Diceros bicornis minor: one gene and its partners. The protein of the gene in region 1 binds, or shares a complex with, the protein of each later gene. Links are inferred from orthologs where the notes say so. Each region holds a gene or a part of one and is shown in the gene's direction. Other genes may lie near its edges.

Region 1 (7,989 bases):
TATAAAATAATTTTTAGTGTAGAATATTTCTTATATCAGTGGAAGACTATCCATTGAGAAAAAAGACTTAATTTTCTTTTATAAATAGCTGTGGATTAGAGTACAACAATAGTTCTAATTCTGCTTTTGCTGTGCATTTAAAGCCAAGATGATGACTGTATTGAAAAAGAGGGAAGAGAAAATCAATCGATTATTGCTTCAATGGAGCTCACAACTGCTGATTAGAGAACACAAATGGATTGCATAATAGTAAAATAACTATAAACTGGGTGTGGATTTAAGCCTATGTTAAGACCATTCTTAACTGCATTGTATCTTTAGAAAACATGCATTGAAATTACAACAGCAAATTAAATCTATTCGACCGCAAAATTTAATACATAAGAAATAGCATTTATTAATGATCTGGAAGAGGGAGTAAATACCATGTTAATGAAATTTGCAGATGATACTAAATTGGAAGGTGTTACAAACAACAATGAGGACAGGGGCTTAATACAAATGGACCTTAAAAAGTTAAGGAAAAGCCAATGATGGTGTAAAAAAAAAAAAAACCAAGTAGAACTTATAAAAATATTCACTGGAAAAATTTCAACTTGAGAAAGAATAATACAAAAGAAGTGTGGATGGAAAGTGACTTTGAAATTTGATCAGGATTTTCTGATTATAATAAGCTGGTTAATCCACTCTTGAGAGGTCCTGGGCCAGCTACTGGGAAGTAGTCATTTCTTTACTCTTCTATCCTCTCTCTAGGCAGACCAGAAGCTCTAAATCACGTAGTCCTAGACTTTTTGGAGGCAAGCAAAATGAAGAAAACAGAGTCCAGGCGTATCAGTAAAAAACAAAACAAAAACACAAATGCATGTTGAAGAGAAAGGAATGACTAGTGAAGACACATGATTGGTATCATCTAATGGTGTTTGTAATGAAAAGGAGCCATGAAAAATCTACAGATACCTGAAAATTTTGTATAAAAGATGGTTGATGTCATTTGATTGTTTATAAGCAATTATTAAATGGAACTGAAAATTACCTTATGAAATATAATTCTTGCTTTTCCAGATATCAACAAATAGAAGAGTTCTCCTTCCTAATTGCATATGCCTAAATCCAAGAAATTGGTAATATTCTGAAAGTCATACGGGATGATATCATTGGCCTTCTTAGAACGTCTGGAAGTTTGGGTCTGAGAATTTGGTTTATCCAGGAAAACAGCAAGATATGTCTCCTGGAAGCTCTGGAGACTCTAAGAAACTAAGTAACGTATCTATAATGTTTTACCAGCTCACCTGAGTCTAAGATACAGTTATCTGGGAATGAAAACTCATCTGTATTTATTGGATCTGTTGAAGTAGAAATCTCAATTTCAGAAACTTGACTATTTTCTTAACATTTTATGTTTCCCTTAGATTTCAGTAATGTTCTCTTCGAATAGAATCTGCCACTGCCACACCTGTGATGGAGGAAGAGTAGAGTATTCTTGGTGGCCAGATGAGAATAAGAACTGTTGTAGGAAAATCCCAAGAAGGAGTTGGAGGTGCTGGGAGGAGGGCAGCATGAGGTCCATGAAGATGGGAGGTAATATTGGGGAGGAAAATTTGGATTGGATAATGGAGGGTTTTGAATGTGTCCTAAGGATCTTGGACTTTATTTAGTAGGCAGTGAGGTCTCAATAAAGGTTTTTGAGTTTTGATATGAGGCTTTCATACGTAATATGTTAGATATTCTTTCCAAATACATGTCATTCCATAATAAGATACGCATGCCATCTGAAGGTCGTCATTCAAGTGGTAGAAATGTTGAACAGGGCAGACTAGAGGAGAGAGCCCAGCAACATACCATTAGAAACCCTTCTCTAAGGGAACAATGCACCCAAAGTGTACAGCAGCATTTTGGGGGTACACCTTCTAGGCTGTTTTCAATCTAACAGCAATTTACTGTATTGTATTGTCATCAGTTAAAATCTCTTTCTGAAAGAGAAAGACAAACACTGTATGATCTCACTCATATGTGGAATATAAACCAACACATGGACAGAGAAAACTGGACTGTGGTTACCAGGGCAGTGGGGGTCGGGGGTGGGCACAAGGGGTGAAGGGAGTCATATATGTGGTGATGGACAAACAAAAATGTACAACCCAAAATTTCACAATGTTAGAAACCATTAAAACATCAATTAAAAAAAATCTCTTTCTGATTTATAAAGTCATCATGAGAAACTTTGTCATGTTTCACTGACAGAAGTCCTCACTGTCCTCCATGATCCCAGAAGAGAAAACTGTTTCTCTGGTAGGTCTTGATTTCAATGAATCCATGCTGGTTCCCAGTGTTCACATTCAAAGCAATTACCAGCTCTTCATATAATAATGCCATTTAATAATAACTCTAGGATCTTGCCAGAAAATCATATCAATTATCGTATCTTTTGGGAAGGAGCATATGAGTTTCTTGCAATAAAGTAGGCCAACGGCAAACAGGAGAGATGGCAAGGCTCAATGCTGAAAGGGTATGAAAAACTCCGTTATGATTCACTCAAATTTTAGATCTAGGATTTTAAAGAAGACTAGCACAGCAAACAATAGCAAAGAGTGTGCAGTGCATAGGACTCAAGACTCAGGTAAGTAGGCTGTTATCACACACATGACCATCAGGCAGTATGGTCCCAACTAAGTGACAGCTGCTCAGGGATAGGGCTGGTACCGCATCCCAGATTTTCTGATGTCTGGCGTTGTGCAGGAGGTAAAGCACTAAACTTTGTGTAAAGCTGGTTAATTCTTAGCTATGATCCAGACACAGACTACTCACAATATCAGAGACGGAGAACTGAGATGGCTAGAGCAAATGCTCCTGGGTGCCAGCTTGCATCATAGTTTTTATCACCATATGAGAAGGGAAGGATACTCAGAATGCTCTCTTCCTTTTAAGTTGCCTTTCCTTCTGTCCTTAATAGAATTTATGACTGCATTTCTCTGATCCACTAATAGCTGACAGTTCCAGAATTTCAATTTAAGAGAGCTTAGGGACAAACAGTCTGATTGAATGGGGGGCTAGACCTTTTCTTTACCCTGTATTTGCTATAACTTTAAGTTTTAACTTACATTGCATGTTTATTTTGGAGGGTGTTCTTGGATGAGAGGGTGCTAAGGACTCCAAAGCCACCCTGCTAAGAGTACATCTATTTTTAGCATGGAGACATTTGAAGTAAAGGAATAGGAAAGTTTGATAAGAGAGGTTTGACTAGGTCTCTTTCGCTATTGCGATTTACATTTGTAAACCTATACAAGACTAAGGCTAGAAGCCAGGTCCTCTGACTCCCAGTCCAGTGTCCTTTCCATCACAATCTAGTGCCTTTGAAGGTGACGCGAAATGACTGGAGTTGCCTTATGCCTGGGTCTATGCTAAAGAGCCTTAGTTATCCTTTTAATGGCTAAATGCTTTTTTGTGTGTGTGTGTGAGGAAGATTAGCCCTGAGCGAACATCCGTGCCCATCTTCCTCTACTTTATATGCCAGGCGGCCACAGCATGGCTTGACAAGCAGTGCGTCTGTGTGCGCCCAGGATCCGAACCTGCAAACCCTGGCCTCCGAAAGCCGTGTGCGCGCACTTAACCGCTATGCCCCCGGGGCCGGCCCCCATGGTTAAATGGTTTTTAGAATTATTCGAGTACCTCTATCAGGAATTTCTTTTTAGCATGACAGTTTTCATCAATCCTAATTTCTCAGTTCCCAAAATAGAATCCACCAATGCTAAAATTCCTAGTCCTTATCAAAGGGAAAATTCAGTAATTAATCTAAATCACAGACTCAGTTGTTTTTATTTAACCTATCTTCACCCATCCCTCCACTTTCATATCTTTAACTATATGAATGATTTACAGATTTTATATTTCCCTCCTGACCTCTTTTCTGAATCTCAGTTTCACATTTCAACTGCTGCATCTCTACCTGTTTCTCCTCCCATGACCTCCAACTCAACAGGAAGCCAGCTTCTTCTTAACATACCCCTATTTCTGTCAATGACACCATCGTTCTTCCAGTCACCCAGGTCTGAAATCTTGGCATCATCTCTGACTTGTTCTCTTCCACATTTAGTGGGTCACCAATTTCTGTGGCCTCTTCCTGAAACATGTCTCTGAATTCTATTTCTTCTTTTCTAATTCCATTTTGTACACTCTAACACAAGTCCTCACAATCCCATAACCGGGTAGTGAACAATATCTGCCACTCATGCTGCTTCCCAGTTTTGCCCTCACAACCCATCCTGCAACCGCTGTGGACTGCTCTCTCTCTAAATAACCATGAGAACAAAAACACAGACACCTATTTCACCCCTTTGATTCTAACTTTCCACAGTTCCCCAGTGTCCCCAGATGATAAAATTCACACTCAAAAGCCCTGGATAATACTGCCCATACTCTTGTAACCTCATCTCATTTTTCCTCCACAGACCCATCCTCCCCAATCAACAATTACTCTTCTTGCCAGTGCCCATTCCCACCTTTTGCTCACACCTGGAATGGATTCTAGTCTCCTCGTCTGAATTCGGCTTTGTTCACGTTACCAACCAGGGCAACAGACCATGACCCTGCCTCAAAATTCCAGAGGTATCTACTGATGGTTCCATTGAGGCAGCCTTCAGCCCTGTCTCCCCAGAAATAGCTTTACACTCTGTCACCTTCCCAACTAGATAAACTCCCATAGGGCATGCAGCAGCCTCCCATCTCTTTGTATCCTCAGTGCCTAATTCACAGTAAATGTCGATAAGGATGAGTTGACGGAATAGGTGTTGTTAAAAAGATGTGAAGGTACAAAGGGCAGAGGCGTACCGCCCTCTCCCCGTGCCCTCCGCGAGAGGGCAGGTGCCGTTTGAGGACAGGCGCGCCCCGCTGAGCGCCCCGGGCGGCGGCCGGCAGCCTGGGTGGGTTCCAGGGCGCTGGGGCGCACGGTGCCCCTCGGGGGCGCAGGCCGGGAGGCCCGGGCGCCTTGCCCTCGCCCGCTGGCCGGCAGGTCTGCGCTGCGGCGTGGCCCGCGGGCGTGCTGGGCGCGGGCAGGGAGGCCCAGCCGTTCCGCGCTCGGAGGTAGGTGGTGCTGTTGCCGTGACTGTCTTCCTCATTGGCGCGGGGCGGAGAGGCGGAATGTTCAACTCCTGACTCGGCGGAAGCGTGGGAGCCGCGCGGGCCGCCGTCCTCTCGACCCCCGGCCGCCGTCCCTGCCCTCGCCGCGCGTGGGGCCTCGGCGCCCCGGCTGCTGCTCGCGCCCGGCCCGAGAGCCAGGTAAGGGGCCAGGCCCGAGGCCGCGGAGGGAGGGGAGGGAGGGAGGGAGGCCCGCCGCGCTCGCGAGTCGTCCGGCGTCTCGGGACCGAGGCCCTGCCGGTGTCGGGGCCCGGGAGCCCGGCCGGCCTGCGGGAGGGAGCCCCACCGGGCACCCCCCTCGACCCGGGGCCCGTCGGGCGGCGGCGGCCGGAGCGAGCGTTCCGGGCTCCCGCGGAGTTCCGCGCCGGACCTCAGCCGCGGCCCGGCCCGGAGCGGCTCGGGGCAGTTGGGGCCAGTCCCACGCAGAGTTGGCGCCCGGAAGAGCGGGGCGCAGCCCGGCGCGTCTCCGGCTTCTGGGCCCCGGGCGCGCGGCGCGGATGTGGGCGCCTCCCGGGCCGCGCGGCGCCGCTTCCCCTCCCCGAACGCGGGGCCCCCGCCGGCCGAGCGCGCGACCCCCGGCGGGCAGCGCCGGAGCGCCGGCCTCGCAGTGGGCCCCGCGCACCTCTCGGGAGGCGCAACGCGAGTCTTCCAAATCAGGGCAGGGTGCCGGCCGCTTCCCAGCAGAGGTCTGTGCTTGCGAGTGGAAACCACTAACTTCTGCTTTCCACCGGGCCGGGAGCCGGGTCTCCCGTCCAGAGCGGCCGCTGCCTGCCCTGCCTGGGGCAGCGCGGAGCCCGCGCCCTCGAGCGTCCCCCTGTTCCTTCCCCGGGAGCCCAGGGGGTCCCCTTTGCCGACCGTGTGGCGTCCCCCGGTGCGCGGGCTCGGAGCCCTGCACCAGGCCCGGAGGTGAACGCTGAGGCCGCCGCCACGCCTCGCTTGCTCCTGACGGCTTGCGGAAAAACTTTACTGCAGAACTGGCGAGACGATATCGAATTGCCTAAAAAGATGGGGCAATCCTTGTTAGATTGTTGAAAATGTGTGTTTCTGATGCGCCTCGAAATCTTGCATAAGCACTGTTTATGGGGAACTTAATTACTATTTTTGTTAGTTTCTTTAGTAGTGAAAGCAGTACTGTGTAGTGGCCCGTTCCAATGATGTTACAGTAAGCAGCTCTCTCGTTAATAATGGTGTATTGGAATCGACTTACAGAATTAATTCGAGGATATTTGAGCTAAGATGGTTGTTAAAGTATAGTCATATTTTAACCCTAAAGCCATTTTAGGAGAGCCTTCTTGCTTTCCTGACCACCTCAGGGGAAGTGAACAGCCAGGATTCAGTGGATCCAAACCTACAAGCACGTTATCAAGACGAAAACAAGTGATTCAAGACAGTTAATGTCTTCTTTGTAGTAGGCCCATCTCCACAGTGAAATTTGATGTCGTTTTTTGATTTTCAAAAAAAAATGTGACGGCTGCATTTTAATTATGGTTTTAGTCATTTGAAGAGCCATTGTTTTAAATTCTTGCTACAATAGTGAGAGATTTGAGAGATTGTAAATGAGTATGAATTTAGTTTGTTTGGAAAGAGAGAATTAAGATAAAGAAAAATGGTCTTTCAGAGCAATGTGTACTGTTTATTTTAAGCTTTCACAGTTTAATTCCTACTATAACTTTTTTGAGATTATTTTGGGAGTTTTTTTAAGTGGAAAATATTATTGTTTAAATAAAACGTTTTAGTGGTAATAATTCCAGAGTAAATGACCAAAATGCAATGGCAAGGACATTTTTTCTTGTCTAGGAAAGCAAATAGATGATTGATTACTTTTTCTTATTCTTTAGGGAACACGTAAGGACACATTAAAAAGAGAGAGAGGGAAATATCCAAATATTAAGCACGAGGACTTGGATCTAAAAATGGATGGTCAAAGATCTTGGGAACTAAGGGACCTTCTTGCCAAATAAGGAGACTTGGCAAGTTGCACTGTACATTTTAAGTTAGCACAAGAGTGAGTGTTATTGGCAATATATTGGCTGTGTGCCTATCTGGAATGAGCAGCAAAACTGACTTTGATAGGGTTACAAAATTATAAACAGGAGTTATGAGGGGAGTGGAGTGAATAATGTAGTCATCAAAGAAAACACTAGAGAAATTACAATGATATTTTGTGAAAAGAGGTCAACATAGAGTGAAGCTATTAGTGTGGAGTGAAAGAGAAAAATGGACAGTTGATTTTAGAAATTGATAGATTCAGAGAAAAGAGAGGAGAGAATCAATGATTTTTTTTTGAAAACCAGAAAAACAGTGTTTGTGGTGATATAGTACTTCTTGGAATAAGATAGCCTTATATCTGTATCCAGAGATGTTGGAAATAAAAATCAATTTGGATCATTTGTTTTCCATTTTATTCTACCCAGGACAGATTGACAGGGAGGGTGTCTTGTCTATCTAAATGTAATAGGAACAGCTAAGGCACCTTTTGGTCTTACTGCCAGGAAGATTTAGGTTACTTCTTTTGAGGCTGTTAACCTTGCCCCACTACACGCAAATAAGCAGAGATCCAGCTGTGACCAGAAAACTGTACCTGTTAAGGAAAGAGAACTATAAATTCGAAAGCTTAGATTGGTTTGACTGATACATGGGTGCTTTTGTGTCCGACCCTCCTACAGACAGCTGAAGCATCGATTATGCCCTAATAGCAGTTAAATAATCCCAACACACAAGAAGATTCTGTGAGAACAAAGCAGCCACGCATTTGACACCTTAACCCCATGTCGCAATTGAGGAAATTAAAGCCTCGAATTGAACTTTAGGTGGATGATAAGCAATCTAGTGATTACTGTAATAAGAAAAGGATCTGTT
Region 2 (7,957 bases), on another chromosome or scaffold:
GAGCGGGTGAGGCCTGTGCGTTAGCATCTCCATTGCCGGTGGGTGACCTGATGTCCACAGGGGTCAGTCCCAGGCCCAAGGGGGCAGGATTCCAGCCCAGGCCATCTCCCTCCACTATACTGGGCCACATCCCCTGCAGGTGGAGATAGAGGCCAAAGCCAGGGAACTTGGAAGCCTGCAGAGAACCAGTCCCCGGGGAGAGGGCGGGCGCCCCAGGAAGGCAGGTGGGGGCGCACTCGGATGAATTAGATCATCTGAGTGAGTTATGGAGGAGACCGCAAAGCCAGTTGAGTCCAGTTGAGAAGTCTGGGAAAACAGGAAAACACCCCAGCACACCCACCATCTGTGTGGCCAGGGGGCGCTTCTACTATTTAAAAATATATATATATATACCAATTTTAAATCCAGAACAGATCAGAGCCTCCTAAAGTACATCCACCACCCAAGATGAACACATGTTAACATTTGTCATACTGGCTTGATTCACTTCAGAATTATTTTAAGCTATAAATGACTTTAAACACATCCACCCAAATGCCTAAAAAGAAAAAGACTGACGGCACCAAGGACTAAGCAGGCCTTGGAGCAACCAGATCTCTCCTCATCTGCTGGCGCGCATGTAACAGGAGGAATCACTTTGGAATATGATTTGGCAGTTTGCAATAAGGTGAACCCGGGTTTTGCAACCTGGGCACTGCTGCCGTGTGGGCCACTCGTTCTCTGGGGTGGGGCTGTCCCGTGCATTGTAGGATGCTGAGCAGCATGCCTGGCCTCGAGACACCAGCAGCACCCACCCCCCTCCTACCAGTCATGACAACAAAAAATGTCTCCAGACACTGCTAGTCTCCCTCCTGCGGGAGGGGACAAAATTGCCCTCGATGAGACCCATTAGGTTAAAGGCACCTGCGTCATGACTAAGCAACCCTCCTAGGTAGAGATCTAATAGTTGATGAAACACATTTTGCCCACAAAAAGATACAAGCAATGAACATTCTTTATGCATAAAAGCCCCAAACCAGAAACAACCCAAATGTACATCAACAAGTGAATGGGTAAAGAAACTATGATCCATCCGCACCGTGGAACACCACTAGAAAGGAAAAGCAATAAAAGATTGATGCACACAACATGACAGATGGATCTCAAAAACATCGTGTTCTTTGTGAAGATACTAAAAATCACTGGACTGCACCCTTACAAAAAAGAGTGAGGGGCTGGCCGGGTGGCGTAGCAGTTAAGTTCGAGCTCTCCGCTTTGGCAGCCTGGGGTTCGCAGGTTTGGATCCTGGGCGTGGACATACACACCGCTCATCAAGCCATACTGTGGCGGTGCCCCACATACAAAATAGAGGAAGATGGGCACGGATGTTAGCTTAGGGACAACCTTCCTCAGCAGAAAAAGAAAAAAAAAAAAGAAAAGTGAATTTTATGGTATGTGAATTTCAATAGAAAACAAAACATGTTGAGTGAAAGAATCTGGACATAAAAGAATCATAAAGGGCCGGCCCCGTGGCTTAGCTGTTGAGTGCGCGCGCTCCGCTGCTGGCGGCCCGGGGTCGGGTCCCGGGTGCGCGCCGACGCGCCGCTTCTCTGGCCGTGCTGGGGCCGTGTCCCACGTACAGCGGCTGGAGGGAGGTGCAGCTATGACATGCGGCTATCTGCTGGGGCTTTGGGGGAAAAGATAAATAAAATTATTAAAAAAAAAAAAGAATCATAAAATGATTCCACATGGTATGAAGTTCAAGAACAAACAAAATTAATCTATGATGATAGAATCTGCAGAAGGAGGTTGCAGAGGGCACAACACTTATGCATGGGGGAGTGGACTGGGTGCTGGCTGCAGGGGTGTATACATATATAAAAGTTCATGGAGCACACCCCAAAAGATCTGCGTACTTCACCATGTGTAAGTTACATCTCCATCAAAATAATAATTAAAAATAAAAGACATAACACTTTACAAAGTGGGAGTCACCTGTGTTCACCTCCCCAACCCCATTCCCCTCCCCCACTACAGAAACAACATCCTAAATAAAAATAATGCTACCAAACAATTACTGCTCCCCTATTCTATGCTTTACAAGAATTATTTCATTTAAGCTCCCAGCAACTCTATGAGGTAGGCACCACTACTATCACCCTGTTTTACAGATGAAGAAACTGAGGCACAGGGCAGTGAAGTGACTCGCGCAGGGTATCCCTGTCAGTGTGCCTGGGCATCAGGATGGGAACCCAGGTGGCCTGCCCCCTCAGCTGGGGTGCCAGGCACACTACCAGCCCACTGCTCCAGACCGGTGTGCTAACTAGATACATAGTTTCACTTTCTGTTTTTTAGTAATTGCTCTAAAGTGTATGAAACTGTGACATTTTTTCTACTTGCTGTTTTATCTCCCTTCAACACAATGTTTTGGAGATTAGCCTTGTTGATACATTCAGCTCTTCTGGTGTCAGAGAAATCTACTTCCAGCTCTTTCTCTGGCCCCTACTGGGGGAGACTTGGTTTGCAAAGAGCCTTCCTTATCTTTTGAGAAGCACAATCCTCATTCAGTCCCTCCCCTGCCAAGAATCTGTCAGCAGCTCCACAGTCCTCAGGGTCACGCCTGAACTCCAGGAGGGGCCCGGCCCCTCCAGCCCCACCACCCACAGCCTCTGGAGCCTGCCCCGACTCCAGGCGATCAGCAGTAAGAACGCCAGCAAGTTCCTTCATCCAGCAGCTCTCTATTGAGCACCTTCTTTTTTTCTTTTTTTGGTGAGAAGGATCAGCCCTGAGCTAACATCCATGCTAATCCTCCTCTTTTTGCTGAGGAAGACCGGCTCTGAGCTAACATCTATTGCCAATCTCCTCCTTTTTTCCCCCCAAAGCCCCAGTAGACAGTTGTATGTCCTGGTTGCACATCCTTCTAGTTGCTGTATGTGGGACCCGGCCTCAGCATGGCCAGAGAAGTGGTGGTTGGTGCGCGCCCGGGGTCCGAACCCGGGCCGCCAGCAGCGGAGCGCGCGCACTTAACCGCTGAGCCACGGGCCGGCCCTTGAGCACCTTCTATATGCTAGATCCTGTTCTAGGAGCCGGGGACCCAGCAGTGAACAAGACAGTGATCCCTGCCCTCAGGGAGCTGACATCCTTCTGGTGGAATCAGACAAGAAAGAAAAATAGTAGAGTCAAATTTATTAAAATTTGCAAGAAAGAAAAATCAAACTATGTGAGGGGTAGACTTTGGGAGGGAGGGGTGGGCGCTTGTTTGAGGTGGAGATGCAGTCAAGGAAGACTTCTCTAAGAAGGTGACATCTGAGCAAAGACGGAAATGAAGTAAGGAAGAGAGAATGCCAAGATGAGAAGGAGAAGCCTTGCAAGCAGAGGGAACAGCCCGTGCAAAGGCCTTGAGGTGGGAATGGCATCGGCACATTTGAGGAGCAGCGAGGAGGGCGCGTGGCCCGAGTGGAGTGAGCGAGGGCAGTGGGGTGGGAGAGGAGAGCAGAGGCATCAGGACATGCCGGCTTCTCCCTCACCCACCTGCAGGTCTTTGCTTCTGCTGTTCCTTCTACTAGACACCCTTTTCGTCTTTATCCACTTTGCAAATTCCTAATTTGTCCTTCACAACTCAACCTCAGTGCCAGCCCTTCTGCCTCCTCCACAGGGGCGCGGCTGCCTCCTCAAGGCCTCCATGGGTCTGGGATACCTTTCTCCTGACACCTCAAACTGTGTTCACTCATTCATTCTACAAAGATGGAGCGAGCACAGGCCAGACACTGGGCAATTTCAGAGAGGAGTGACATTTAAAATAAAAAAACAGGGCCATGGGCCAGATACAACACAACATAGGGATTCCCTGGGAAAGTCTCTCAGAGGACATGACATTTAAACAGAGACCTAAATGATCAGAAGAGGCCAACTTTGGAGAGATGTGATGGAGGGGCATTCCAGACCAAGGAATAGCCAGTGCAAAGGCCCTGTGGTTGGAAGTAAGGTGAGAACACTTGAGGAACAGAGGGAAGGCCAGCGTTGCTGGATGGGGAAGAAGGGAGCAGAGGGAAATGCAGCTGGACAGGTGGGCAGAGGCCTGACAGGACCAGCTTGTGAGGGGTGGGAAGTCTTTCCTAAGAGCTCCAGAGAGCCAGGGTCAGGTCTTCCAGCAGGTAGAGGCAGGGGGTGGGCTGTGCTTTAGGGTTTCCAAGGCCCCAGAATGGATTAGAGAGGGGCCAGCGCAGCTGCAGGGAGGTGCTGGGGCAGTTATCATATTTGATTGAAATTGGACAATTGTACAATTAGTCCTTGGCCTCCAAGTTTCAAACTCGACTCTGTTTCCAGTGCCACCAAAGTCCCCAGTGGGCCTCGATAAATATTCACTGAGTAAACGGATGCGGGAAGGTTGGAGTGAGAATTTGGCAGGGTTCCCCAGCTCCATCCGGGGAGGCAGCCTGGAGCCTGGCAGACAGCAGAAGGCCAGTCTCTGGACAAGGTGGCCCAGGCCCTGGGCCACCTGGGAGCCTTCCTCTGCCACATCCTCCCATCCGTAAAATGGGTGGGCTGGAGAATTAGAGGAAGGTACCATGTTCCTCCGGGCAAGGGCCATTAACATCCCGGCTCCATAATTGGGGTGAGGGGCTTCTCTCTGAACCCCAGGAAAAGGCTCAAAAATCGGGAGCGAGAGAATTAGCTCAAAGGGTTATTTAATTCAGTGGATAAATATTCGAGGAACAGCCAGGAGGCTGATGTGGCTGGAGGGAGTGAGCAAGGGCGAGGGGGGAGGTGGGGAGACAGGGCAGGTGAAGGGGACAGATCGTGCAGCGCCTTGTGGGCTGTGGGGAGGACTTGGGCTTTTACTCTGAGGAAGGTGGGAGCCATGGGGCATCTGAGCAGAGGAGGGGCGTGACCTGACTCAGGCGTTCACAGGCGCCCTTGGGCTGTTGTGAGGCAGGCAGACTGCGAGATCGAGGGAGGAGCCGAAAGACCTAGGAGGAGGCGCCTGCATGGGTCCAGGCGAGCGACGGTGGAGAGTGGTCCCGGCGGAGGCCGCGGAAGGCGTGGGAAGAGGGTGGACTCTGCATCGGCATAATTTCTCCTCCCCTTCTTCTCTCTCTTTCTCTGCTAACCGCCCCCCTCCGAAGAGTCGCCCAAAGGAAGAGGGGAAAGAGAGAACGTCGCGCCCTGGTCTCTGGGACGACGCAAAGGGCGCAGGGCCGCAGGTAACCAAGGTGCCTCAGCCCTGCGCGCGCGGCCGGGTCCCTGGAGGGCGCCAGTGCGCAGGCGCCGCCGCCAGGGCGCGCTCCCCGCCCTGCGCCCCGGGACCGCGGTTTGGCTCAGTCCCCGCGTTTCTAAGGGATCGGGGTCGGCCACGAGCCAGCTGCACGCCCCGGAGACCCTGGAGAAGCTCCTCGGAGGCCTCCACCCTCCGCCTCCGCGTGGGCACGAGTCTGCATTTATGGAGCGCCGCCTGCATGCAGCAGCCCCGAAGAAGAGGCTGCTCCCCATCTTACAGCGGGGAGAACTGCGGCTCAGCCACAGGGCCCACCGCGAGTCAGCGACGCAGCTGGGATGCGAACCCCCTTTCATAACGACAATAACGTTAGAAAGGACAGCAGCTGACGTCTCTCGAGCGCTTACCGTGTTCTCAGCACTTGCGTGCAGTCTCATTTACTTTCATCCACACCCGAGGGGTAGGCGGGAAAAGCCTCCCTGTTTCCCAGATGAGGCGCTCGTAGGGTTTGGGGCTCCCCCAAGGCATGGGGCGCCGGCATTTGAACCCCGATCTGCCCAGAGCTTGTCTCCAGGCAGTGGGGAAGCTCCCGTGCCGTGAATGCGTCCTTCCCAGGACGCCTGAACTGGCAAACGCGGGGGGTGAGTCGTTTTTGCTTTTTGAGGGGTCCCGGGAGGCCCCAAAGCCTCCGCCGCTCCCCGCCTTAACGTGGCTCACTCCTCTCTCGGGGTTCCCGCGCGCTCAAACAGGGGACCCCCGCGGACGCAGGAAGAGGCCAGGGCGGGGGGCCCTGCAGGCGGGACCCCGCAGCCCCGGGGGCCGCCGGGAGCCGCGCCCCCTCGCCCCGCCCCCTCCCCGGGCGCCGACCTCGCGGTCACGTGACCGGGCCCGGCGGCCGCTGGGGCCGGAGGGCGCGGCGCGCGGACGCGGCGGCCAGGCCAGGCGGGGCCGGAGCCGAGCAGGCCGGAGCGGGCCGCGCGGGGGCTCGAGCCGCGCCCGCCCTCCCCGCCGCGCGCGGCGCACGCGCGCTCCTGCGCCCTCCCTCCGCGCGGGGACCCCTGGCGGGAGGCGCGAGGACATGGCCAGCGATGCCGTGCAGGTAGGCGCACCTGCGGCCGCCCGCGCCGGGCCCCCCGCCCGCGCGCTGCCGGGACCCCGGGCCCGGGCGGGGTCTCCCGAGCGCCCGGCGCCCCCTCCCTGGGCGGGCACGGCGGGGCCCGCGGGGCCCCCTGCGCGGCAGGTGGAGGTCCGCACGGGGGGGAGCGGGAGGTCCCGCCGCACCCCAAACTCCGCCCCTCCCTGGGAATTAGAGGGGGCGCGCGGAGGCTCGACTTGGGGTGTCTGCGGCTGGCTGTGCGTCCCGTGCCTGTCGCCCCGCCACTCGCCCCCTTCCCCGGCGTCCAGGTCCTGGTTCCCGGCAGGTGCCGCTGCACCTGGGGCAGGTGCCTGGCGCGGGGCCCCGGGAGGGGAGAAGGACGCCGGCCCGTGCCCCTCCCCCGCACAACAGAGCTCCAGCGCCCCCACCTCCGGACTGAGCTTTACGGTGGTCCCGACGCCACCAGATTGGCACCTGTTGGCAGAAGTGCCCGAGTCACCTCATTAGGTCGGGGGACGAGGACCCACACGGCCATCCTCCGGGCTGCCAGGTGGAACCTTGTCCCAGGTGGGGAGTGTCCAGGTCAACAGACTGGGGATTTTCTGCTACCTGGCATCCTACCTGGGCATGGGTGACAGGACTGGGTCACCCCCACGCACACACAAACACACAGAGGCACAGGTGACTGTCACCGACCTGCCGCCCAGCCAGGCTCTCCCTGTGCCATCTCGTGGACATCACAGCCCTGGACTCACCTTCCCCATCTGTGACAAGCAGGGCCAGGGTGACTTCTGACCTTCTGTGGTTCATTGCCCCAGTCTGAGACGTGTCCTGTGCCTGTAGTGCCCCTGATAGTGCCTCACCGTCCCTCCGTCGTGTGGTTGCCATGTAACTGGGTTCTCGTCTCCTTCTGCACCTGCCTCCACCCCCTCTGTGTCTCCCCCGTGACCCCCTGTCCCCCGCCTCAGTCCTGCTGATGGCCTGCCAGCCTTGCCGAGGAGCTGGGCGTATCTGGTGTTGCCGATCACGCAAGGTCAGACCTTGGGGCTGGTGAGGGCCGGGGTCCCTGCGTCTGCCTCGGCCCTGGGGGGTGCTGTGCTGGATTCCCCCGGCACATGCATGCACTTGGTGGGTACGAGACATGACCTGGACCGAGGCTGTGATTCCTGGAGCCGGGCTGGACCCGCACCCTGGCCCCCTTTCCCATCTCTGGCTTGCTCTCTTCTCCCCTCCTGATCATCTTTTTCTCGTGCCTGCTTGGGCCTGCTACCCTGTCCCTCTGTCTGTCCCGACGTGTGCCTATCTGTTCTGTGTCCAGCAAACGGATATCCTGTCCAGATTCCGGAAACGCCCAAAGCATTGAAATCTCCGGACGTGGGGGTCTAGGTCCCTGGCCGCTCTGGGAAGAGGGGGATTCTGGGAGGTGGGCCCTCTGGACCTGGAGTCTCCTGCTTCGTGGTGGGAGAGGAGGAGCAGGGATCCTCCAAGGCTGGGCTAGGCCCCTGATTCATGGGTTCGCCTTGCTGGCCCTCAGGTGACCCCTGCCCTCTGGGCAGGAGTGAGTCACCCAAGAGAAGAGAACACAGGAGGCCGGGCCTCCCTCTCTCCCTCCCTGCTCTGTGTATTTTCAGGCCTCCCCTCAGAGGTGGGGCGGGGGAGCCTGCTCC
Region 3 (7,095 bases), on another chromosome or scaffold:
TCAGGGAGGAAATTTTGGGCTGGGAGTGGCTGGACTGGGGAGACATCTGGGGAAGTTCCTCACTTGGGGAGCCTTGGCCGGTTTGGAGCTTCGCCAGCCCTGTTTTGGAAGGTTCTCTCTGGCTGCAGTGTGGAGGAGCTGGGGGCAGGGAGCACAGGGAGGAGGAGGAGGAGCAGAGAGGGTTGCTGGCACTGCCCAGGGCCCCACAGAGTGACCAGCTCACGCCCAGCAGGACTGGTCACCAGAGGGCGCTGTGGGCCAGCAAGCCATGGGGGCGCCTGCGGTGACAGGGCGGTGTGGGCACAGCTGTGCACATGGAGCGTGGCTGTGAACATGCCTGAGACGGCGTGGCCACTCCCTGTGCACATGTGTGCACGTGCTTGTGCACCCTGCTGTGTTCATGAGTGTGTGCGTGTTATTTGGGGGTATGTGGACTTACACAGATGTGAAAGGGGGCACGTGGGGGTGGGACCATGCAAGGGTGTGAGAGCAAGCAGGTTCAAGGGGCGCATGTAGGTGAGAACAGGGGCCCACTTACCTCTCACTACTCCAGCTGTGCTCTTACTCACCTACAAACCATCCACCTCGGGGCCCTTGCACATGCTGTTCCCTCTGCTGGGCATGCTCTTCCCCCAGAATCCTCATGACTCCTTCACCTCCTCAGATCTGGGTTACACGTCACCTTCCAGGGAGGCCTCTCCCGACCTTCCTCTTTAAAATTACGGCCCCCACCTCCAGACGCACTCCCTGCTGCGACCCTCCTTGTCCCCATGCACTGATCCTCTGACGGTCTGTAATCTGACTCAGGCATTCTGCTCGTCTGGCTCGCCCACCAGGCGTCACCTCCCGAGGGCAAGTCCTGTTCAACTCTGTGCCCTCAGCTCAAGGCACACAGTGAGTGCTCAATGAGTGGTTGTTGAACGAATGAATGAATGAATGGACTTCCCCCGTCCTGGGCTCAGACCGTCTTCTCTCTCCAGCCCTCTGTCGCCCCAGCTCACACTCACATCCCGACTTTGGCCAGCCCCTTTCCACGCTGTGCCTCGCAGTTTCCGAGTGTACAGAGGGGCCTGTTTGGGACTTTTCTCCCGGGAGTCAGGGTTGGAGGCAGCCTGTTGTGGCCGTGTCAGACGCCCTCTGGTTTCCGAGGGTCGCGGAGGTCCCCAGCTTCTCAGTGCTCCTTAGAGGCAGAGGGAGGCCGGCAGATGTTGCTGCAGCCAGCTGGGAAGAGAAACAGGCGCTGCGGGGGTGCTCCCCGCCCGCAGCAGTGCAGCTCTGCCCCCCAGCCCGGCCTCACGCGGGGCCCCTTGCGCACCTCCCACACTCTCTAGGAGACTCGTGCTTGCTTCTCTGCCTGACAACTCCTACTGGTCCTTAAAGGCCCAGTCTCAAAGTCACCTCCTCTGAGGAGCCTTCCCTGACCTCACCCAGGTGGAGTCCGGCACCCTCCTCGGACTCTTGCTCATGCATCTATTTATAGCACCCCACACGGAGTTGTGTGACTCTCGGGCTGTCTGTCAGGCTCCCTGACTAACCGTCAGCTCCTCCGACTGGAGGGCCTCGTCTGAGTCAGGCGGGCGCCTGGGAGGCTGGCCTGGAACCAGAGTCATTTCGTAGATGTCTGTGGCATGCTTTCCGTCCTCCCTTTGTTCATTCCTCAAATATTTACTAGGCGCCTACTATGTGCCAGGCCCTGGGCTGTGCATCAGGAATGCAGCAGAGAAGGAGTTGGCAAGATTCCTGCCCCGGAAGGGCCCCCGGTCTAGAGGGAGAGCTGGGTTAAAAGCAGAGTCAACAGGAAAGGCACCGGCGGCACCAGTGCTGTGCAGAGAGTTAGAATGGATTTGGGGCTTGACGGAAAGGCCTCAGAGGGGAGTTCACTGAAGAGGAGACCTTCAGGATGAAAGGGAACCAGCCCCAGAAATCACGGTGGTGGCGGGGGAAGATGTTCCAGGCAGAGGGAACAGCAAGGGCAAAGGCCCTGAGGCAGGACCAGTATTGGTATGTCCAATGGGCAGCACTAAGACTCTTGAACATAGTGAGGAGCAGAGAGGACGAGGGGAGCATGGGAGGAGCAGAAGTCCCCGAGGTTGGCGGGGGCCGGAACCCAGACCACTCGCCGGATCAGGCCTGCAGTCCTGGTAGAGAGGCAGCTGCTGCCGGGTGCCCATTTGACACAAGGACGGGCAGCAGGTCTTGGGGTGAAATGACTGGCCTAAGGTCACACGGCCCATTTTGTACAGAGTGCTCTGGGCCACTCCAGACACCCAGGAGCGGTAAGGTTGCAAGGGCTTCCTGTAGGAGGTGGCCCACAGTGTGTTTACAAACATTTCCTGGGCACCTAGTGAGTGCCAGGCCCTGACCCAGCCACTGCCAAGCCTGACCTCATGAACCAGTTTCAGAGAGGCCTCATTGTCCCCATGGGCCAGGTGAGTAACCCGGGCAGGGAGCTGCTCAGTGACCCTGTGCAGTGGCAGAGTTGGCACTGGAACCCATACCTGAGTCCACAGCTCATGACTTCCTGCCCACTGCCTGGAAAGGGTGAGCGGGGGATGCAGGAAGAGAATAATGGTAATTATGAGGTCTCCCTCTTATCTCATCTGGCCCTCCCCATCACTGTGTGGGCAGGTCCCGCGGGGAAACCCCCTGTTTTATAAACACACAAGCAGAGGTCATCCCCCTGCTCTAAGCATTTCTGGCAGGTGGTTGCACCTGCTTCCCACAGGTGAGCACTGGAGTAGGACACACTCATGCCTGCTGGAGGTGAGGGACTGACCCCTTGACCTTTGCCAGGCGCTTCCTGTCCTCACTAGCCCGTGGCTTTCCAACCGAGTCACCTGGTCTCACTGCCAGATTGGTCAGTAGCTCCTGAAATCCCTGGAGGCCTGGCCCGGTCTGGCCACTGTATGGATGAGCCGACTGAGACCCCACGCGGGAAGGAGAGAACCTACGGAGGGAGCCGGGATGAGACCCTGGTCAAGGCTTGCCAAGTGGAGTAAAATGCATTGAAATACCATTTTCCTCCCTCCGAGACTCAGTTTCCCCATGGGTAGAACGGAGGGCAGTGACGACACAACCATTAAAACTACCTTTACTGACTTCTCCCGGGGTACCCCACGTTCACAACTGTATCACCACCCGCAGCGCGGCGCCGACACTGGGTGGGCGCTCGCTGGCTGTTTGCTGAAGCGCACAGCCGGGCATTGTGCTAAGCCCTTTGCGACATTCAGTCAACAAACGTTTACCGAGTGTCCGCGAAAGCCCGGGCCCCTTCTCACCGGCGCGCCAGGCTGTAGGGCTATGATGGTCACTCTTACAGGGGCGAAAACGGGGGCCCGGGGGCTACCTGACCTGCCCAAGGTCATCCCGCTAGCAAGCAGACAGTCGGGGTCTGAACCCAGGTCTCACCCCGGCGGGGCCCTTTTAACCCCTCCGCAGGCCCCGTCTGCACACACTTCTCGCAGTGGGTGGCCCTGGGGCCACCCGAGAGGATCTGTGGCTTCTCCGGATGAGGCACCGGCGAGGCTCGCGCGGGCTCTGCGCGCCGGGGACCGGGGGGCGCGGAGGCGCGGGGCGCGGGGCCGAAGGCGGGGCGCGGGATCGGGCAGGGGCGCGGGGCGCAGTGCCTGACGCAGGGCGCGGGGGTGGGGGCCGGACAAGGGCGCGGGGGTGGGGGCCGGACAGGGGCGCGCGGCGCGGGGTCGAAGGCAGGGCGCAGGGCCGGGCAGGGGCGCGGAGCGCGGGGCGCGGGGCCGGGCAGGGGCGCGGGGCCGAAGGGAGGGCGCGGGGCACGGGGCTGGAGGCCGGGGGGCACCTGGCTCTCCCGGGAGGGGCGGAGCCCGGCCGGCCCCGGTTTCCCGGGTGGAGGCGGGCTTGACAGGCAGCGGGAGGAGCCGGATCCGGGCCCGCGGGGGCGGAGCTCGCGCTTGACGGGCATGGCCAGGGCGGCGTCTGATAGGCGGGGGACGGGCCCGGAGACTGGCGGACCAATGGGCGCCCGGAGGCGGGGCCTGCGTCGGCGCCGTCCGGCCGGGCCCCGCGGCGCTGCCCAGTCCGGCCCGGCGCCGCCCGTGGGAGCGCGTCTCCGCTGCCTCTGCCCGCCGTGCCCGGGCCGTCTGCCCGCGGCCATGAGCTCGCTCCGCCCGGGCCGAGCCCGCCGCCCTCTGGAGTAGCCCCCGCCGCCGCGGACCCGCCCGCACCATGGAGTCGCCCGCCTCGAGCCAGCCCGCCGGCCTGCCCGCGGCCAAAGGTAGGCGCGCCGGCCGGGCCCGCGCCGCGAACCCCGGCCTCCGGGTGGTCCCGGGCAGCGCCGCGGCCCAGAACCTCTTCCGATTCGGGGGCCGCTCCCAGCCGAGGACCTCACCTGGACCCGCGGCTTAGGCCTGGGGACTGCACCCAGGCCCGCACCCAGGCGAGGATCTCGTTCTGATCTCCCCGCTCCGGGTCGGGAACCTCTCTCTGACCTCCTCATTTAGGCCTTAACTGCACCCTGGACAGGAACTCTCCCAGTCTGGGCCCCTCAGCTGGACCCAGGTGGGATTCACTCTGATCCTGCACCCGGCGCCCTTCACTCCTGGGGCTGGATTTAACGGACTCCCCATCCGGGCCCCAGTGATGCTCCGTGGCTGGGGATCCCACTGTAACCCCCCCATGTGGGTGCCCTGGCTACACTCCAGCTCAGAACTCCCTGTTCTTCCCCAACTCTGCATCCTTGCAGGCCCCACATTGCCCCATCCTGGCCCCGCCTGCACCCCATCCTGCAGCCCCCGGCCTCTCTTGGCTCTCACCCACCCTAATGCACAGCCCCCCTCCATCAGCTTCTCCTGTCTTCACTTGCAAGCCTCCCTCTGCACTTGGGGAGCTCACCCCCTCCTGTGCCCCAGTGTCTCCAGGGTTGATTGCTACCAGGCCTGTGTCTGTTGCCCATGGGTCCTGGGCCAACTGCCAGGCCGGGTGCTGGCTGGGCAATGGGCTTGCTCTTGTCTTCTCCAAGTAGCCGGCCTTCCTGGAAATTTCTGTGAGGTGGCGGCTGCGGCAGCAGGATTTGTCATGCAGAGGGGGGAGGCCGAGACTTGGAGGGTGAGAGGGGGATTTTTTGCAGGAAGAGGAAAGGATGTTTTTGGCCTGCCGGAGTCACAGCAGGCTGGGTTGTGGGAGCGATTTCCACACCGGACATAGCTGCAATGAATGGGCTGCCTCCTGGCTCTCTCAGCCTGCTGCTGCCTCACCCCAGCGACACGAGTGTCTGTGGCCTCAGTCTCCCTGTCTGTGAAGTGGGGGTAATCACGCCTCTTTTCTGTGGACTTCTGGAGTATGATGTGAGGTAGTGAATACTAAGGAGTTGTAAGCAAGCGAGGGTGGTGAGATGAAGAGCTCAGCATGGCTCCTGGCGCATAGTAGGTACTTAGGAAGGGACAGGTACCAGGCATCTTGTTCTTGTTACCATTTTCCTTACTGGAAAGGCCTCAGCCATGCATGGTCAAGGTCTTGCCTCTGTTTGGGTTGCAGCTGTAGAGTGAGGGGGAGAAAGGTAACAGCTGGCACTTAGTGGGCCCCTAATCAGGGGTTGTCCCTACCTCTCTTTCTCTAGAGGCGCCCAGGCAGTGGGAGGGCATGTGGGGGCCGGGGGAGGGTGTGGATCCTTCCCTGCTCCTGCTGTGGGCTGTGGGCCAGAGCCCAGCCGGCCGGCGGGTGGGCAGGATAATTATGTCTTACATAAGTGGGAGGCCTGGGAGGCCGGATCCCTGACCATTGCCCAACCACCGTGAGTAACTTGGGAGGCACTCACGGGGGGAGGTGGCTGGGGAGGGACTTGTCCTGCGCAGACCTCGTGGAGCCTGGGAACCGGGAAGTCGCAAGCTTCTCCACTGTGCAGAACTGTGAAATCAGACACTTCTCCTCCTCTCCAGCTTGGGGTTTACTCGTGGCTCGGTCAGTGCTGTGGGACTTAGGGCAGGTCCCTCAGCCTCTCTGGGCCACAGTGTTTTCATGGACGGAAGGAAGAGGTTGGAAGCAGTGTTTGTTTTTGAAGGCCCTTTTAGCTCTTCCAGGCAGGGAATGCTTCATCCAAATAAAAGTTCAAGTTGCAGGGTTGTGAAGGGAGGGTGATCATGGATGTGAAGGGAAAAAGCACTTTGGGGAGACGCTGCTTGATCCCCGTATGCTCTGTGACTTGAGTCCTGGCATTGCCCTTTCTGAGCCTCTCTGCAAAGAGAGGACCAAGATGAATTTCCAGTTTGTGGGTCCAGGTAACACATGACCCACAAACTGGAAATTGGGTGGGCTGGATGGAGGGTCAGGGGCCTCGCCAGGACCCAGGGACCCTCTCAGCCTCTTTGTGGTCTGCGGAAGGATGTGGTGGGGAACCACAATGTCCCCTTGCCCAGAATCCCAAGACCTCTCACTTACCAAGTTGTTTTCCATGTGTCGTGCGCTCTCCTGATTATTCCTTGCAGCCCCATTTACGATGAGGAAACTGGCTCAGAGGCGTTCAGTGCCGTGCCTGAGGTCACACAGCTGTGACAGATGGAGCTAGGGTTCCATCCAGGGCTGTGTGTCTCCGGAGGTCTCCTCAGTGCTCCTCTGTGTCCCATTCCTGGGCTGGGTACTTGAGTTGGATGGATGGGACACTCCCCTGCACCCTATTACCCCTCGGTCCAGTCAGTGTCCCTCCAGGCCCTGCCGGACCTGGAGGATGGACTGAGCCAGAGGTGATGCCTCTTGGGTGCACAGCCCTGTACGGTTGGCACATGTCATACTTGTTTCGGTCTGACCCATTTGACAGATGACAAAACCGAGGTCAGACAGAGGCAGTGGTGGGACCGAGTCCACAGAGCCAAGGCTCATCTTTGTCCTCCCCACCCTGGCCTGGGCCCCGGCCTCGTGCTCTCTCCGCCTTCTCAGAGGAATTTGAACAAAGCCGGGCGTGGTTGGCACCTGACCTTAAGGCACTTTACCTTTGAGCTTCCTGCCTGGCAGCAGGGGCCCTGCCCGTCCCGTCCGGGGCCATGGGCCCGTGGAGTTTTCCGTGAGTGCACAAGGCCGCAGGCCCCAGAGCCCGGCGGGTTTCCCCGGCCTCCTCGCCCACATGCCGTC
Region 4 (6,997 bases), on another chromosome or scaffold:
GAGATATGGTTCGGGAACTACGGCCCCAGGCACATGTTGTGGTTTGGAACGAACTCCCAGATGAAGACTCTGTATCAGAATCAATCAACTTGACCTGTGCTGTCCAGTACAGCAGCCACCAGCCACACGGGGCTTTTGAGCATTTGAAATGTGGCTAGTCTGAATTGAGATGTGCTGTATAAGTGTAAAATACACACTGGATTATTTTGAAGACTTAGTATGACAAAAAGAATGTAAAATACCTTATTAATAAATTTTTATATGGATTACATGTTGAAATTATAATGTTTGGGATATATTTGGTGAAATAAAATATCATTAAAATTAATTTTACCTGTTTCTTTTTACTTTTTGAATGTGGCTACTAGAAAATTTTAAATCACATGTGTGGCTCACCATATATTTCTATTGGACAGCGCTGGGCTTGACATTGAGGAAGGCAGGTAATCTCTGCCACACAGGAAGTGAAACTTTATCTCTGGACTGCAAAACCTCCTACCTGGAGCCAGGTTTCTCTTAGAGATTCCCCTGTCCCCCATCCTCATCCTCATCTCCTACTTAAATTCAGCCTAAGCACACAGTACCAGCGTGATCTTTCTAGGATGGAAATCTGTCCTCATCATTGTTCCATTGCTTACAATCTGTTGAGGGTTTCTCTTGGCCTTTCAGAATAAAGACGGAACTCCTTAGCAGGGCAGCATCACCTGGCCTCCGCTGCCTTCCTTCAGCTTCACCGCCTACCCCTTCCCCCTCCAGTTTCTTGTGTGTGCTGTGTTTCTGATACCTCCATGTCTTTGAATTTGCTCTTCCTTTTTCTGGGAATGTCCTCAGCTACCCGCACACACACACACAAGCCTCCTGCACTACCCCACTGTTCTTTCCTTGGTTGATTGGCTTCCAAGACATAGCTCATCTGTCACATCCTCCTGGATGTCTCCCTTGAACTTTCACCCTTCAAGTAGAAGTTCCTCTCTCTCTGCCCCCTGCCACCCTGCATTTGCCTCTGTAAGGGCATTTACACATCCGATTTCTTGCTGGTTTGCTCGCCTGTTTCCCTCACTTGGCTGTGAGTTCCTTAAAGGCAAGAACCTTGCTCTTCATCTCTCCAATCCCAGGACCAAGCCTAAGACCTGGCACAAAGTAAACTCTCAATAGCTGTTTGCTAATTGAATTGAGAAGCCAGTCAGGGAATTGACCGGAAATAATCAGCTCGTGGGTGGTTGTATTTAAATAGAACTCAAGTGATGGAAACCCCCACTCTGACAGCCTTATTGGCTCACATGATGGAAAAGTCTATGGGTCGTTCTAGCTTCAGGCATTGCTAGATTCAGCAGTTTGATCAATGTCACTAAGACATTATTTTTCATCATCTCTTTCTTTTCCATCGTGCTGCCTCCATTCGAAGAGACTCTTTCCTCATGGCGACAAGGGCTGGCAAGCTTATCCTTCCAGGTTCTAGTTGAGAAAGACAAAGTCAGCTATCCCGACAGTTCAAACTGAGGGTAGAATTTACTCCTATTGTCCCCGATTGGCCTGTTTGGGGTCATGTGCCCCACCTTGAATCAATCATTATTGCCTGTGGATGGGATGCATTGATTGGCTCAGGTGTGATCACATGCTGAAGCCATGGAATTGGGGTCCTGGTGGAGTCCGATTCATCCCAAACAGGGGGCTGAAAGTGGAAGTTCCCTCAAAAAAATGTCAGGGTACTATTTGTACCACAAAAACAGTAAAATGTCCTCTGCTGCAAAAGGAGAGCCCTGGGATAAGTCTGTTCAGTGCTTCTTCTTTTACAAAAGTGGACATTTTAGGGACCATGGGTCTCAAGAGAAATTCATATTCTTACAACTGTGTTGATTTTGTTTTTTCCTTGCTTTGGCATTTCCAGGGACTCTGTAAAATGGAGTTTGGGCTTGCTATATTCTTAGGTATTATAACCTGTGTAAATCAATTAGAGAGCTATAAGTCAACTGGAGAGATAATTCAGAGATAGTTCAGAGATACAAAATCTTACCACTACTTGGTAAGGCCCTGGTATATTTCCTGGCTTGTAAACTTACTCATGGAAAGTGAGAGAGTTACTAAACCCAAAGTCTCTTTCTGGTGAAATAGGGCACACTGGGTAGAGATATTTGGTGTTCCTTGGAAGAACAAATCTTCAGTATCAGGCACACTCAGCTTGAGGGTACCTCACAGCAGCTGCTTCTGTACAAATTACTTCATGCAAACTTTTATTGAGTTCCTACCCTTCCTACAGGTACTATAATAGGTGCAGGAGAGAGAGGGGTGAACAAAACAGACTTCAGCTTACATTATAGAGGGTGAGATACCCAATAATCACACACAAGATACTTTCAGATTGGGATAAATGCTACGAAAAAATTTCAGTAATATGAATGAGAGGGACTAGATGATAGTGGGTTATTTTAGATAGGCCAGCCAAAGACCTTTTCTCTGAGGAGGGACATTAGAGCTGTTATCTGAATGATGAGAAAGTGCCAGCCATGCAGATAACTACTTAGGATTTCCCAAAGAAGACGGAGGGCTCAGCTGTCTGGGGAATTTAGAGCAGACCCTTGCTCCTCAAAGTGAGGTCCCAGACTATCACCTGGGAGCTTGTTGGAAATGCAGAATCCCAGATCCCACCCCAGACCTACTGAATCAGAATCCACATTTAACAAAATCTCCTAGATGATTTGTAGGCACAGTAAAGTTTGAAAAGTGCTGGACTCTGGACCCTTTTTGCAGCCTACTGGAAAGGTGTAAATTCTGCTGAGGCAGGGAGCAGGCAATGGTGTTGTCAGCAGTCACTAGAAAGATGACATGGTAACTAATTTGCTGCTGCCTCTGTAACAGACCAGCCAGGCTCTAAGAGAAGACCATGGATTATCACACATTAGGCTTAAGTGATTTTTAGGTTAGCCCCCTTGCTTTTCAGGAGACTGAAGTTCTTTGAGGAGGAGTGACCTGAGCATAGTGGGCTCCTTGGTGGCAGAGTCAGGACTAGGATGTAGGAGTTGCCTCTCTTTGTGTCACCTTTTAAATATTGATCAGGACAGGTTAGAGTGATGTGGAGGAGAGTGAGCAGCATGACGAGGTGATTGGGAAATAATGTCACATGAAGCACCAGGAATGTTTGCCCTTGGTTTTTTCACCTGTGAGGGTGAATTAAGAAAATATATGTGAGAACCAGATCCACTTACAGGAAAGCATATTTTAGCTCTAGGCTAACTAACGAAGTAATGATTTGACATGATAGGCATTTTCCCCCTAATACGCATTAAAATAAACACACAATTATCAAAATGAAGAAGTTTCTTCGTGTACCAGTGGACCACATTTTGTTTCTCAAAAGCCACCAGATGAGTTCTGAAGTCCTTTGCAACTGGAAGAATGGACGATTTTGTGGCGATCAAGCAGCCAAAAGTTCACAGAACGCACTGTCACAATCCTGATGCCGCCATAGACCCACCCATCCACCCATCTAAAACACTTGTTGAACACCTAGCAATGACTCTCCTAGGCCCTGGACACAGTGAAGACTAAACTCCACTTTCTGATTCCAACCGGAGGGAAATAGAAGAGTAAATGATTTCGGTATGTGTGGTATAAAGTGCTACAGCTCAGGTAAGCACCGGCACACAGAGGAAGGGCGGTTTCCGGACATAGGGCGGAAAGGAGAGCGTGGGTGGGCATTTCCCAGAGCAGCCTCTGCCAGCCACCCCACTTTGATCACTTTGCCGCCGCGCAGCAGCGGCGGCGGTCAACCTCAACCTTCCTTAGCAACATGAACGCTCCGCCCAGCTGCCTTCCCATTGGTCTCACGGAGCTTGATGGGCAGCTCTACCGTGCAATCCCAGCTCGTGGTCCTTGGCTCCGCGCTTACTCATGGGAGGGCTCGTAGGCGTTACCGCCCTCCCCAGGTGCCCCGCCCAGCCCCGAGCTGCTTGCGGCGCATGCGCTGGCGGGCTGGGGCTGTGTGCAGGGCCAGCGCGGAGCCGGAGCAGCCGCGGTGGAGCGCCTGGGCTTCGCCGAGACCGCCGTGCCCGCTCTTCGCTTCTGCTCCCGCAGCTACGAGCCGCCGCCGCCGCCGCCGCCGCCGCCGGGGTAGCGGCCGCCTATTGTCTTTCTCTGCGGCGAAGGTGCGGAGCTGTTCCAGCTCAGCCCGCGGGGGAGCCCCGGGCGCCGCACGGTGAGAGCGCAACTTAGTTGGCGGAGTTGGGGGAAGTTTTGTGGTTTGAGGAGGGGTCGCGGGCGGAGAGGACGGGCCCTTCCCCCTAAGGCCGCTCCTCGGGGCGGGGGCCCGGAGGGGGGCGGGGTCCGGGATGAATGGGCGGCCGCGGGGCGCCCGCCGGCTCTGCGGCCCCCTCCTCCCTCCGCGGCCACCCTCACGCATTGTCTGCTCCCGGGCCCCGCGCGCCTCCCGGCTCCCGCAGCCCAACTTGGGGGCCGCCGCCACGCCGGGGTGGGGGGCGCGGCCGCCTTGCACGGCGTGAGTGCCCCTTCAGGCGCCCCCGGGCCACGCGAGGCCTGAACCCTCGGCCCCAGGCTTCCCTGGTCGGCTCCTCCGTGGGCCCCTCCCGTCCGACGGAGTCCGCGAACAAGTGTTGCGGACGCGAGGGAGCGGCTCCCCGGGGCCGGCGGGGACCGTAAACACGCCGGGCGCCCGCCTTCGGGGGCGCGGCCGGGGACCCGCGCGGGTCGGAGACGTGCAGCCGGAGGGGACCCGCTCCGGGGCCGTGCAGTGGGCTCAACTCTACTGAGTTCAAGTGCAGCCGTACTTGGAGACCAAACAAAACATTCTTTTTGTAAATACGGCTTACTGACACTTTTGTTTTTTTTTGCAAAGTCAACTAGTATGTGAAGAGTTTTAAAAGAATATGGGGAAAACCCTCAAAATTTTTTTTTCATCTGAAGAAAGAATAGACAGGTTTTTGGATACAGTTTTTACAGAAAAATGACTCCATCACATTAAGTTTCTAGATCTTTCTGTGCACTCAGGAATTCACAATGAAAGTTGGATTGAGCAATATTTTGGTGTTCATTCTCAGCTTTTACACTCTTCGGTGAAGTTATTTTGGGAGTTTATTGCCTCAGGCGTATAGAAGTAAAGGAAAAAAATGTGTGCCTTTTTTTCTTATAACCCCCCCCCCCCTTTTATTTTCAGAAGCAGCAGCTTATACTGTTTTTCTAAACCGTTGGATTTCCCGGATCAGGACAAATGCTACCGTTTTTGAAAGATCATTTTTTGCAAGTTTGTAAAGGAGTTATGATGAGCTGAGATAAATCACTGTTACCGTTCTTGTATTCCTTCGTGGTCTCTTGGGGGTTTGCAGACTGCATTAAGTACAAGGCTTATCAAGTTTTGGGTGCATCGATTCTACTGAATTTGCTTCATTTGGCTTATGATGTGAGAATAATTCTGTTTAAATCTCCCAGATGGAAGTAGCTTAAATGTCTGTCACATTTGTAGTGGAACAAAATGACCAGAATGTGTTAATATCAGTTGTTATATTCCTTTGCCATCTGCTAAATTAAAAAGAAGAATTTGAGAAATACTGTGTGTCAATTTGCTTTGATTGATTTCTCATGCTAAGTGAGTAATGTAGAGAAGCTTTCCTGGGTTTTTCTGGTTTGGTTGGCTGCATTTTGCTTTGAAAAACCAGCTTTCTTCACCTGATGAAGCTCAAGAAGAATGTCCTTATGGCATAAGCATTGTACTTTTGAACTACAGCAACAAGGTGACTTTTAGGAGTCACAGTGCTTGCTCTCAGGGCTTTCCTTCCTGGTTGTGTGGTTGTGTGTGCCTGTGTGGGTGGATTGTGGGGAGGGAGCTTGACAGGTTGGAAGGGGTTGTCAGGGAGGGACATAATATAAACAAGTATTACTTACAACATAATGTGACAGCTAGGCCAGTTGCTTTCTTTCTCTAAGCTGTGATAGCATGTTATACATACTTTTGTTTTAGGATTTCTAACAGTTCATTTATTTGCTTGACTAACGGTAACTGTATATGTAGTATAAAGGGACTTCTCTTCTAGTCTAACTCCTTGAGGGCTGTGATGGGCCTTATTTCTTATTTAGCTTTGTACCCTCTTTGCCAGGAAGGGGTCTTAACACAGTGCAGGTGTCCAGTATGTGTTTGAGTTGGGTGAAGTGCTTTGTATTAGCTAGTGGTAGTGCACATAGAACCACTAACCCTGGGGACTTGTCCAAAATAACACTTCAGTTGCTGAAATGTGATGAAATTTAGTTTATTTCGAAAAGGATTCCTAACCTTTCTCTTATCCTGTTAATTGTTGAAAAGAAGTGAGGTTTAAATAGTGCACTGTGGATTTTGAAAACTAGTTCTGATTCAGAAATTTTCTCCGTTTTTTGGTGAAATGATTAAGAATCATTTCTGAATAAATCTGAATCTGAATAAACCTGAATAAACCCACTCACATCTCTGCCTATTCCTCTGTTGTGAAGTGAGGAGGTAGCACAGTTTAGAAGCATGTGCATTCTTTGGAGCGAGGTAAATTTGAGTTCAGATCCCCACATTGACTAGTTATGTAGCCTTGAGCAGGTCCCTTATCCTCTCAGAGCTTTGGTTTCCTACTCTGTAAGGTGTAGTAATATACTTTGCAGTATTCTTAGGAATAAGTGAAACTATGGAGGTACTTAATAGTGGGCCTAACATTAAGTAGGGCCTATTACCTGGTAGCTATACTGATAATTTGATAACACTTTTTATATGACTTAGAAAAGCATTTTTAAAAGTCTGGTGCTTCTAAGTGTAGTGGTTTAGCTGTTTCTTTCAGAAAGAAGGAATCCCTCTGAGAATTGAGTCTTAATCAATGCAAAAGTTTTTTTAAGGTGCTAGTTGCACTGAATGTTAATAGAAACAGTGGTTTTATCCTCTCAGTCGCCTGTTAGTCTTTGGGAGGGCCTTGCAGAGTGGCTTGGTTGGGTAGAACTCTGCATTTATAGTGTTGAGGAAATGGTGAGAGATGGA

What was found. The genes of interacting proteins can lie anywhere in the genome.
Region 2: MAP3K20 (region 1) and PKN1 share a complex: the UniProt entries of both Homo sapiens proteins name them as parts of the signaling complex. The link is inferred for Diceros bicornis minor from reciprocal best matches to the Homo sapiens genes MAP3K20 and PKN1.
Region 3: MAP3K20 (region 1) and MAP2K3 share a complex: the UniProt entries of both Homo sapiens proteins name them as parts of the signaling complex. The link is inferred for Diceros bicornis minor from reciprocal best matches to the Homo sapiens genes MAP3K20 and MAP2K3.
Region 4: MAP3K20 (region 1) and AKAP13 share a complex: the UniProt entries of both Homo sapiens proteins name them as parts of the signaling complex. The link is inferred for Diceros bicornis minor from reciprocal best matches to the Homo sapiens genes MAP3K20 and AKAP13.

Annotation. Positions count from the first base shown.
Region 1 is NC_080749.1:54,163,077-54,171,065, forward strand, and holds the start of MAP3K20 (mitogen-activated protein kinase kinase kinase 20), read left to right. Parts: upstream 1-4,980; 5' UTR 4,981-5,076; exon of another isoform or gene 5,077-5,271; intron 5,272-7,989. UniProt on the Homo sapiens protein: Stress-activated component of a protein kinase signal transduction cascade that promotes programmed cell death in response to various stress, such as ribosomal stress, osmotic shock and ionizing radiation.
Region 2 is NC_080769.1:3,430,180-3,438,136, reverse strand, and holds the start of PKN1 (serine/threonine-protein kinase N1), read left to right. Parts: upstream 1-4,952; 5' UTR 4,953-4,967; coding exon 4,968-5,183; intron 5,184-6,166; exon of another isoform or gene 6,167-6,272; coding exon of another isoform or gene 6,273-6,293; intron 6,294-6,761; exon of another isoform or gene 6,762-7,266; coding exon of another isoform or gene 7,267-7,323; intron 7,324-7,957. UniProt on the Homo sapiens protein: PKC-related serine/threonine-protein kinase involved in various processes such as regulation of the intermediate filaments of the actin cytoskeleton, cell migration, tumor cell invasion and transcription regulation.
Region 3 is NC_080757.1:209,333-216,427, reverse strand, and holds the start of MAP2K3 (dual specificity mitogen-activated protein kinase kinase 3), read left to right. Parts: upstream 1-4,090; 5' UTR 4,091-4,200; coding exon 4,201-4,249; intron 4,250-7,095. UniProt on the Homo sapiens protein: Dual specificity kinase. Is activated by cytokines and environmental stress in vivo. Catalyzes the concomitant phosphorylation of a threonine and a tyrosine residue in the MAP kinase p38.
Region 4 is NC_080744.1:89,550,762-89,557,758, forward strand, and holds the start of AKAP13 (A-kinase anchor protein 13), read left to right. Parts: upstream 1-3,992; 5' UTR 3,993-4,192; intron 4,193-6,997. UniProt on the Homo sapiens protein: Scaffold protein that plays an important role in assembling signaling complexes downstream of several types of G protein-coupled receptors.